3 linked regions of the Saccharomyces cerevisiae S288C genome follow. The gene in region 2 interacts genetically with the main gene of each other region. Each region holds a gene or a part of one and is shown on either strand. Other genes may lie near its edges. The genes, in order: YPS6, CHM7 and BIO2.

Evidence for each region.
Region 1: mutations in CHM7 (region 2) and YPS6 together harm fitness more than expected from each alone (negative genetic interaction), as found in Saccharomyces cerevisiae (one large-scale study listed by BioGRID).
Region 3: mutations in CHM7 (region 2) and BIO2 together harm fitness more than expected from each alone (negative genetic interaction), as found in Saccharomyces cerevisiae (2 studies listed by BioGRID).

What each region holds. Positions count from the first base shown.
Region 1 is NC_001141.2:430,472-434,231, reverse strand, and holds YPS6 (aspartyl protease), read left to right. Parts: upstream 1-2,120; coding exon 2,121-3,734; downstream 3,735-3,760. Other genes in the region: seripauperin PAU15, read right to left, coding at 1-303.
Region 2 is NC_001142.9:344,116-347,875, reverse strand, and holds CHM7 (phosphatidic acid-binding protein CHM7), read right to left. Parts: upstream 1,904-3,760; coding exon 551-1,903; downstream 1-550. Other genes in the region: UBX6 (Ubx6p), read left to right, coding at 1-429; ATP-dependent RNA helicase MTR4, read right to left, coding at 2,133-3,760.
Region 3 is NC_001139.9:1,063,237-1,066,950, forward strand, and holds BIO2 (biotin synthase), read right to left. Parts: upstream 1,705-3,714; coding exon 577-1,704; downstream 1-576.

The sequences.
Region 1 (3,760 bases), on a different chromosome or scaffold from region 2:
GTACCATGGAACACCAGTGATAACTCTGGTGACTTGTTCAGCTGGAATACCAGTCAACATGGTGGTGAAGTCACCATAGTTGAAAACAGCTTCAGCAATTTCAACTGGGTAGGTCTCACTTGGATGAGCTGCTTGAAACAAGTAGTATTGGGCCAAATGAGCTCTGATATCGGAGACGTAAACACCCAATTCGACCAAGTTAACTCTTTCGTCAGATGGAGATAGAGTGGTAGTGGCTGGGGCAGCGGCAACACCAGCAGCGATGGCGGCGACACCAGCAGCGATTGAAGTTAATTTGACCATTATATTTGTTTTGTTTTTTAGTGCTGATATAAGCTTAACAGGAAAGAAAGGAATAAAAACATATTCTCAAAGACATACAGTTGAAGCAGCTCTATTTATACCCATGCCTTCATCAGTCATCACTACTTAAACGATTCGTTAACAGGTGCTCATTTAGCACCTCACATATCCTCCATATCTCATCTTTCACACAATCTCATTATCTCTATGGAGATGACCTTGTTTCTGAACGAATCATACATCTTTCATAGACTTCGTATGTGGAGTATTGTTTTATGGCACTCATGTGTATTCGTATGCGCAGAATGTGGGAATGCCAATTATAGGGTGCCGAGGTGCCTTATAAAACCCTTTTCTGTGCCTGTGACATTTCCTTTTTCGGTCAAAAAGAATATCCGAATTTTAGATTTGGACCCTCGTACAGAAGCTTATTGTCTAAGCCCATATTCAGTCTGCTCTAAACGGCTTCCATGCAAGAAATATTTCTATCTCTTGAATTCGTACAACATTAAACGTGTGTTGGGAGTCGTATACTGTTAGGGTCTGCAAATATGTAAACTCTCGGCGAAGGCCTTGGTGCAATTACGTAATTGTAGCCGCTGAGAGGCGGATGGTATTGAGAGAAGTTGATATTCAAAGAATTGATTATGATAAAAAAAAAAAATTGTAACCAATCCGTAAATACTGAAACTCTTTGCAGTAAGAAATCTTTCATCCCCAGAGAGAACGCGGAAATATTCAGCCTAAGTCTCTCCAAATTGATTTCTTTCATTTTGGTAGCGAAAGACTTAGTATCAACCTCAAAAAGTTGAAATTTTTGTAGATATATGTGCGGATGACATGAAGTATCCAGCTCCTTTGTGAATATGGAAGCAAGTTTCTTTCAAATTATTATCGACTTTTCCTCTGCCCCTTTTACCTTATAACTTTAGGAAACACTACCCTATCCATACTCAACTAAAAAAGTAGTACGTTTTCTTCTTTGAGAGGTATGGTGCAAACCAGTGCAATCTGATTCCAGATTGCCCTCACGTGAGGCTTCAGTAAATCTCGATCCCTCTACATATTACATTATCTCCTACTTGGCAAAATAGATGTGGCTTTAGTTGATGAAAATTTACCACGTCAACTATTTATGTCCTTTCTACAATAAACCCCGACCTACTATCCTCTATGTTGTTTTTAACATACCATACGAGCGTCATATGTCTTTTGGTTCACTGGGGAAGACCATCACTGTTGAACGTTTGTTGAAAAGTTCGAGATGATGAAGATTGCATAACAAAATGTAAAGTTATTTTTAGAAACTATAACGGTTCAAGACATTCAACACTATAACATAGCTTGGCTGGCTTGAACATAAAGAGGAAGAAGCAAAAGCAAGAGTAAAAAGCTTCTCATTTATTTCTGGCATTGTTGATCACCCAGTGCAAGCCCAATTTCGCCTGTGCTTTTCTTAAATTGTTTCTGACAACACCGAGGTTTTCGCTGCAGAAAAGGAACATATGGTGGTAATTTGTATAAGGGGTTAAGGGTCCAAAAATTTGCTACCCTGTCGCTCACTACAGCAAAATATCTCGAGATATCCGAGGAGTTAAAACTGACTAGACCTGTTGCGTAAACCTCATGCAAGCAGTACTCTTCGAGGATTTAAGCTTTGGAACTGCTTTCAAAGTTGAGAGTATATAAGGTGTTATGATCTTGGAATAGGGTTTTTCATCGTTCTTCCTTGTTCTCTTTTTTCATTGGTTGATCAGTTGTTAAATTTTGTCTCTTTCGAAAATAAGGATATTTGAAGACAACGCAAAGCTATCAATATGCAATTGATTTCCATCCTCTCTTTGTTGTCATCATTGATGTGTTCATTGACCGTTTTAGGGTCTTCCGCAAGTTCCTATGTTAAGTTTCCTGTTCAAAAGTTGGCTGATATTATAAATATATGCACACAGGATGTTTCTACCGTCTTCAAAAGAAATGAGGTTCTTAACACCACAGTGATAAATGGAATAGGAGTGTATGTTGTCAAGATGGAAATCGGAACGCCTCCACAAACGTTGTACCTACAGTTAGATACTGGCTCTTCAGATATGATTGTGAATAATGCTGACATTGCCTATTGCAAATCGATGTCTGACGGATCTGACTACGCTTCAACTGATAATTACGAGCTCACAGCAACGTTCAATGGGCTTCCTTCGACTACCATCTCATCAGAAGCTTATAACACTCTCTGCTCTTATTGGGGTACATTCGATGCAAGCAACTCATCTACTTTTGAGAATAATGCGACGTTTTTCAATAACACATACGGAGATGGTACGTATTATGCAGGGACTTATGGTACGGATGTTGTCTCTTTCGAAAATATTACTCTAAATGATTTCACTTTTGGTGTATCAAATGATACAATAGGCAATCCAAGTGGCATTTTAGGCATATCGCTTCCCATTGCAGAATTTACAGATGGTATCGAATACGCATTGGCATTGAACAGAACACCTTTCATATATGATAACTTTCCAATGGAATTAAAAAATCAGGGAAAGATTAATAAAATAGCGTATTCTTTATTTTTGAATGGACCTGATGCACACTTCGGGAGCATCTTGTTTGGTGCAGTGGACAAAAGTAAGTACACAGGACAGCTTTACACCCTGCCTATGCTGCAGGCATTCAATACCCTTGGCTCAAATCCTGGGATGATTATTACTGCACAAAGTGTGGCAATTTTGGATAGTGAATCTGGCAATAAAACTGTTTCGGATATTCAATTTCCAGTGATGTTGGATTCTGGCACAACTTTCTCCTATTTACCCACCGAAATTGCAGAAGCAATCGGCAAAAGTTTTGACGGAGAGTACAGCTCTGACGACCAAGGCTACATCTTTGATTGTTCAAAAGTGAACGATACTTTACTGTCCGTCGACTTTGGAGGATTTAATATATCGGCAAACATATCCAATTTCGTAACATCAGCTAAGGATCGTTGCGTTTTAAATGTTAAGCAATCCGAGTCCACTTATATGCTGGGAGATGCTTTCCTTGTCGACGCATATGTAGTCTACGATTTAGAAAACTACGAAATTTCTATTGCTCAGGCTAGCTTTAATAATCAAGAAGAAGATATTGAGGTTATCTCCGATACTGTCCCAGGTGCCACCCCTGCTCCCGGATACTTTAGTACATGGGTATATAAGCCCGGTAGTCCCATCGGAACAGGAGATTTTATTAATGTCAGCTGGACCTCGTATTCGGAATTTTCACAGTACAAATCATTGCTTGCCACCGCAGCCCAAAGCGATGATGCTAGTTCTTTCTCAAGTAGTGGCGGCTCTAGCGAAAGCACCACTAAAAAACAAAATGCAGGTTACAAATACCGTTCTTCTTTCTCCTTTTCATTATTGTCCTTCATATCTTATTTTCTTTTATAAGTAGAGAAGAGATACATAGTTTCGCA
Region 2 (3,760 bases):
GATCTGTTGCCCAGATCGACTCTCATCTTAGAACCGCTGGAAGCCAATAACAAAACATTCGACTACATGGAACAATCTTCTCTTCTACACAAGGTTTACTCAGGTTTGACATCTTTTTGGGCGAAAGAACCGGAAGTAGATGCTTCCTCCTCCCGTCTTGGTTACCAGAGGTTGGGCACAAATGTGTCAAACAGCGCCAACTACTCTTTACAAAAATTATCTAGCTTAGACATGGTGTCGGACGGGGGAGGAGGAGGTGGTGGTGATTCAATGACTCCTTCAGCATATACTACCCCAAGGATGTATCCTTCTAATGGTACTTCTCAATTGCGACAAAACGTGTCTGAACTAAACTTGTCTTCCAATAATTCTGCATCTAATACCAAAGTTCGTACATTAGGTTACTCTAATAATAACGGCAACAATTAAATGTGCTTTTGTTTATTTCCTATTTGGTTATTCACACATATTTTCTTTCTTCCGTCTATTAAAATATTCATATTTATTTTTTATTTATACATATATATTTATTTATTAGTCACTCAGTTCGTCAACGTGGTTGTTCTTCCATCATGATTTTTCTTATCTCATTATCGTGGTTTTCATTATCTTGCACAGGTCCTTCATTTGTATTTATCTTCAGATTATTCAATCTCTTTAATAGATCCTCGCTACTGCTTTCTTTTGGCTCGTGCAAATCCTGGTTCTTATTTTCTTCCTTATTATTATTCTTTTCATCAAGTTCTAATTGTTCTAATTCTCTTTCAATTTCTTCTTCTGCTTCTTCGTCTTGACCTTTATTATAATGAGCTAATAAATCATTGACCTCTTCGGTACGGTCATGACCCTCTTTAATCTCATCTAGTAAGTCTTCTACTTTTTCGGTAGAACCAATATATCCATTAATTGACTTAATTACTTCGTTGGATTCACTTAAAGTTTGAATTAAAACCGCATTAGTAGCACTGGTGTCTATTTGAGTTCTTACTTGAGCGAGGTTATTTTGAAACTTTAGTAACCTAGAAAGATGTTTTTCAGATAGTAATCTCGCCTGTTTATATTCAATCCTTATTCTCTTCGGCAGCTCATTAAACTCTGGTCCTCTCAGTTTAATGTTAGATTCATTAATTTCTTTTCTTAGCCTTGTAATTTGTTTGTTGATGTTTATAATACCCACTTTAACACTAGCAATTCGAAGGTCATTTTCTGTGATGCCTTTGGAGAACCTGCTAGTAATGTCTTCTACTTCAGCGGCAATGACTTTGATAACATTGTCTTTTGAAACTATTATGTGCTTATAATTCTCTATAAAGTGCAGGAACACGTTTTTCGTTTCTTCATCATAGGTTGAAAAGAACGACTGCAAACTTTCTGTGGTCACAAATTCATTCCTTGTGAATACTAAATCTGTAATAGATGAAGCCTCCATAAAAACACTTCTTTTGAGTAATTCATGAAACCTTTGATACTCTTTTTCCAAATTTGCTTTGATAATAAATTTGTCTTCTCTCAAGTAGAAATTTGTTTCATCCTTCCGGCTTTTATACATGTTTGTAGACTCCTTCCAACTTCTAACCCACTTCCAAAATCCTTTTCTACTGTTGTCAGTGTACATTCCACCAAGATTGAATAATTCCATAGGTATCAAATTTCCTTCATTAACAAGAACGTCAATTGCTATATCAATGCTTTTCGGTACGCCATAAACTTCATGAGTTAATTCTTGCAAAGTCCTTGTCCCTATAGTAAATATGATTCTGTTGGAGTTGCTGATGTATTGTTGCAAGAAGAAATCCCTCCATGTACTGATGTTTGCTTCGTACCCATCGGGATTTAAATCTTTCAATGGCCTAAAATCTCTATATAAAGATGGTAGTCTGGATTCTGGTAAATCTACTTTCATTCAGATACAGTGAGATACTATTTGGCTGGCTTTGGTGGTGTTTTGCCAGATATAGTTTAAGAATTTAAAACTCCTCTTATTGTCTCTACTAACGCTGCACTTCATTGAGTTGTATGGGTGTATCAATAGTGTGCTTGCCCAAACAAAAATGTTATTATATAATAAATGTTGATGAAATCTATTTGTTTATTATATATACCAATAAAAATACATAATTGTGTGTGATTAACTATAAATACAAAGAACCAGCAGATACGATATCTCTATGAATTAATTTCAAGACAGCTTCCATCTTCTCCTTAAGTGAAGAGTTACCAATGGTATTGGCGACGTCTACCAGCTCCTTCACCAATTCCTCTAATCTCTTGAACATTCTGATCAACGAACCTTCGTAAACGTCGGTCATTTTACAGATTTGCGTAAAAGTAGCTCCTCTACACCATTCGTAAACAACTTCCATTAGTTCATGTCTGAAGCTTTCAACGTAGTCCTTTTCTACAACTTCAATTTTAGAATCCTTCATTATCTTAGCGATCTTTGCTGCAATTTCTCTCATAGCCTTCAAAGGTTCGGCAAGCTCTGGTTTCAATCTAGGCGCTTCTTTACAGCGTTCTTGGAATGCAAAGCATGATAATAATGCTGCTGCTTGTTCCGGTTTCAACTCATTGAAATTACCATTGAAGATCAATTCTGTTAGTAACAGTTCATCACCACTAGATATTTCACATGCAACTCTACCTTTCAGTTCAATAATGTCATTAGGAGTACAAAATCCTAAACGGCGCAAAACTCTTTTACGGCGACGAAGATCGTCCAGTTGGATTACGGCTTGTGATTCTGAAATTTTGCGTTTCAATTGTTTCATATCTTCATGTAAATCGTGTTTTCTACTATATTTACCATATAGTTCTTCTAGTCTCATGGAATTGGTTAAGGGATTGGAGGATAACTTTGTGTTTAAAACGTCAATCTTCTTCATTAGCTTTAAAAAGTCCTCATCTTCGATCTTCATGTTTTTAACAGGATCCAGCACGGGAATACCATCCGGGAACCTCCGATTAACCTCCCTTAAAGACTTCCCAACAGTTTCTTTTTGACCGCTGGCTCTAATATCTTTGGGCATATATAGTCTCAAATTACCAATCGACTTGATTGAATCCAAAGTTATGGGAATAACAGCACATATGCTTTTTTCACCTTCTTCCGCTGGGCGAATCCCTTCTGGTAAGGTAGGGTTGAAAGGTTTCAACAAGTTGACTGGAGAGTCTATATACATGGTATTGACGACCACATTGACAATATAGGATTCATGGTCTGTATAGACAGCACTTGGGTTGCGTTTGTTAATTCTTTTAGCAAAATCGACAACAGCACCCCAGCCATAGTTATCCTTACCATTGACAGAGATTTCAACTAATCTGCCTGGTTGTAGGAAACTTAAGGCGTTTGCCGGATGGGTGACAACTTGACGAACATCTTCACGGTAACCTTTGATAGCCTGCTCAATCTCATGGTATTCTTTAACATTTTCTTCATCTTCGACTTCGATGCCATCAAAGTCTTTTTTCAGTTCAGCAAGTTTCTTTTCCATAACTGGTACTGAAATAACGTTTTGAAATTGGAAGAAAGAATGCTCCAACATAAACTCCGGAGAGATACCTTCAACTCTCATTAAGTTCAAAATCATATTATATCCTAAGTGAAAAGCCGAGTCTAGCCTATCTGCTTGGCCCTTAACCATTCCTTTAGCAACTTGAGGTTCCATTTTTTCATCAATCATCATAATAACAATACCACGATCATCTAAACCACGACGACCTGCACGACCAGACATTTGTATATATTCTCCACCTGAAA
Region 3 (3,714 bases), on a different chromosome or scaffold from region 2:
AGCTCTTGAAATAAAAATTTCGAACTCTTTGCAAAATTTCATCGAGAAAAAAAAAAGATTCGTATTTGCGGGTAATATTTTTTGGACATTTGTATTAGGAGCGTTATGTTCATTAATGTCATCCAAAAGATAGTTATAAATCTATGATTGTATGGTTTCTTTGACATATTTATAGTTAATATATATATATATATGTGTTTAATTTTATAAAAATTCCATCGTTTATATTCGATTATTTTTATATGTCAACCTTTTTTTTAAGAAATGTTCATATTTAGTCAAGTTCTTAATGAAATGAACGGTTGAAAGTACAAGGCAACTATCATTTCAAGATATAAAAAAATTGCCCAAAAAAAAAAGGCCATTTGATGAAATGTCTCATCGCGCTACGATTTCTGCTGTAATCAGAACTAAATGCGTGATCGGAAGTAATATTAGATATTGGATGCATAAAAGATAAAACGCCAGCTAACGATGGCAGAATAAATAGGTAAATATATATATATATAGGTTTTCTTAATAAATAAGGGAGAAATGTACAGTTAGAATCGTAGAATTATCCACATATCCCTATCTTCAAGATCTGTCGTACTTAAATGCCTCCATAGGTTGCAATCCCCATTTAGCCAACATTGCCTTGTCTTCGTCCCAACCGTTACACATTGTCGTCAGCATTTTCTTACCGGTGAAGATACTGTTACAACCTGCCATGAAACAGACAAATTGCTCTGTTTCTTTCATTGTATAACGACCAGCGGCAAGTCTTATAATGGCCTTTGGCATAACTATTCTCGCTGTGGCAATGGTTCTCAAAATTTCGTCGAATTGCAACTTTTTACTCTTTGGATCGGCAAGTTCCTCAGCCATTGGAGTCCCTTTGATAGCAACTAGTCTATTAATTGGTAGGGACTCAGGATGAGGAGACATATTGGATAATGTGTAGATGAATCCTATATGGTCGTCTTCGCTTTCACCGAGACCCAAAATACCACCGGTACAGGCTTTTATTCCAGATTCTTGGACATTCTTGATGGTCTGTAACCTGTCGTCGTAGGTTCTCGTGGTGATGACCTTACTATAGTGTTCTCTGGAAGTGTCGATGTTATGGTTGTATGCAGTCAAACCTGCATCTTTCAATTGCTTTGCTTGATCTTGATCAACCATACCTAAAGTAACACACGTTTCTAGCCCCATATCATTCACTTTGGTCACCATTTCCTGAATTCTTTTCATGGCTGATTTACGACCTTTCATGTCTCTCCATGCAGCACCTAGGCAGAATCTAGTAGATCCGTTTCTTTTGGCCTCTTCTGCCTCTTTAATCACTTCATCCACTTTAACCATTTTCTCAGCCTTTAGACCGGTATCGTTTCTCGAAGACTGCGCACAATACTTACAGTCCTCAGAACAACCACCAGATTTGATGTTCATCAATGTGCACAATTGCACTTTGGTTGGATCGTGCCACTTTCTGTGCTGCAATTGTGCTGCATGAGTAAGTTCGAGCAGTGGGGTATGATAAATTTCTTTTAATTGCGATTTTGTCCACGAATGACTTGGTTCATCTAAAGACAATGCATATTGTAGAGCACCCAGAGTACTAGCTTCTGAGGATGCAGTTGTCGATTTAACTGCGGCATTGGTTGCGTATTTAGTTAAAGCCGGTCTAGCGGTAGATAAATGACGGTAGATAGTAGACATCATACTGCACTAAATTGAAAATAATCGGCTAAGTTAGCTCTTCTGAGGACACCACTACCAGAAGAGTAAGATCTGAAAAATTTTCAGCAAGTATGGGAGCAAAAAAAGCTTTGCCCTTTTATATAAGATCTGCCTAAGAGAAGAAATAAAAGATACCAAGAGAATCTAGCAGAGTGGCAAACGAACTACATAGCCTGTAAATACAGATTAGGCAGCAGCGTAGCGGATTTTCCTCAGGCATCGTCTCTCACGTGAAATCTGTGGGGGCACCAGCGTGACAGGGACGGTTCTAATGCTTTGCACTTTTCAACAACTTTTTTCCATAACCAAATGCCGGCAAAATGGCTTCGAAGAAGACGCGAGACTTCATCCGCGAGTCATCTCGACATGACTATCTTTTGCTAGCCAACACGCCCCTCCGCAACTTCCCACGATAAAATTGTAAAGAACAGTACTGATGGACAGAGATTTGCGCAGTGGCATTTTTTGAAAATAAAATGAAAAATTATATATATATATTCCATACATAGTATATAATATGAACTCGTTTGACTTGGAAAATTTTAGATGCAACAGGCAATATCGTTGGGCTTTTTTATTTGATCATTAGCTTATTTGAATATGAAGGTAATGACCAAGGGCTACTAATGTCTTTCTATTAAGCCGTTTTACAATTGTATATTTTGTAATTTGCATCGCAGTCATAACTTCTTGCAAGAAATAGTAGTTTCACACAATGAGGTAGTTTCGTTGGAGATGCAGTAATAATGCAGAATACGGATCTCACGGACCCCAAGAGAAAGCTACGCAATCTTACGGCTTGTAGGTTCTCAGTTCCCAATCGATGCAAAATGGGTAAGTATTTTCAAGACTGAAATAAGGTCGCTTAGAAACGGTTATCCATTTACTATTATCTGGAAGCTGCTTTCCACAGCTACCTACTTTGGAGTAATGGTTTCCGGGAAGACTTCATCCTAGAGCCTCTTGCTGTTGTTATTCGAAGTTCAGATTCGTAAATGGTAGTACGTTCTGCTTTCGCAATGAATAACTAGGTCACATAAGCCCTAAATGCGTCAGTAGAAGATCAGATGCATTGACCACATCATATCCTTCTAAAGTAATTAATTGAGATTTAATATTTTTCGTACTGATGAGAAAGCTAAACTAGTGCAACTATTATAGTCACATTTGTACGGAAAAGGCAGAAGCAAGAACAATGACTTGAAAGAGCGTATAGCTATTTAACCATTTCCATTTGTATGCTATAATTCAAGTATTTCCACACTCTTAACTAAAACGAATCAGAAGAGTAGGCTACTAAGAAAGATGGCTATCCTTAATAAGTACTATCCGACGTTGAATTGAAGATTAAACTGAGCCACACATTCCCATCTTCTGCACACTTAGTTCCTTATTTAGAGACTTTTATGATAAAAATTTCTTCCGTTCACTGTTAAACAACCTTGGGAACAATGCTGACTGTGCAGGAAAATGACCTATGTTTGAAGGATGTTGCCACATAATTGAGGCATGTTAGCAGAGCATTCCCTACCACTGGAAGGAGTGATGGTTGATGTATTTTCCATTGAGACTGTGACATTGTGATACGATACCTAATCAACGACCCTATATAACTCATTAAAAATGGCTTTCTAGAAGCTACATCTATTTGATTAAATTGGTTCCCATTTTCACAAATATTTTGCCACCTCTCCTTCTCGCCAAGGATTTGTACAAAATTAACAGACCTTTTAGAATAAATATTAAATTTAGGTCAGCAGAATACGGCCACCATCTCATTCTTTACTAGATCAAGCGTCAATTCCAATAATTATAAAAATATAAGTCAAGAAAGCATCTTTCTTCGAGTCTCCTGCATTCGGTTTGCGTTCCTCTCTCGTTCTGCTTGACAAAAGAAAGAGTTTTTTATTCTCCTAACCAATAAATTGAAGCAATCAGCTATAGGGTTAGATGTATTCGTTTTCCTTTCTGACCCCTTATGTCCCCATTTGG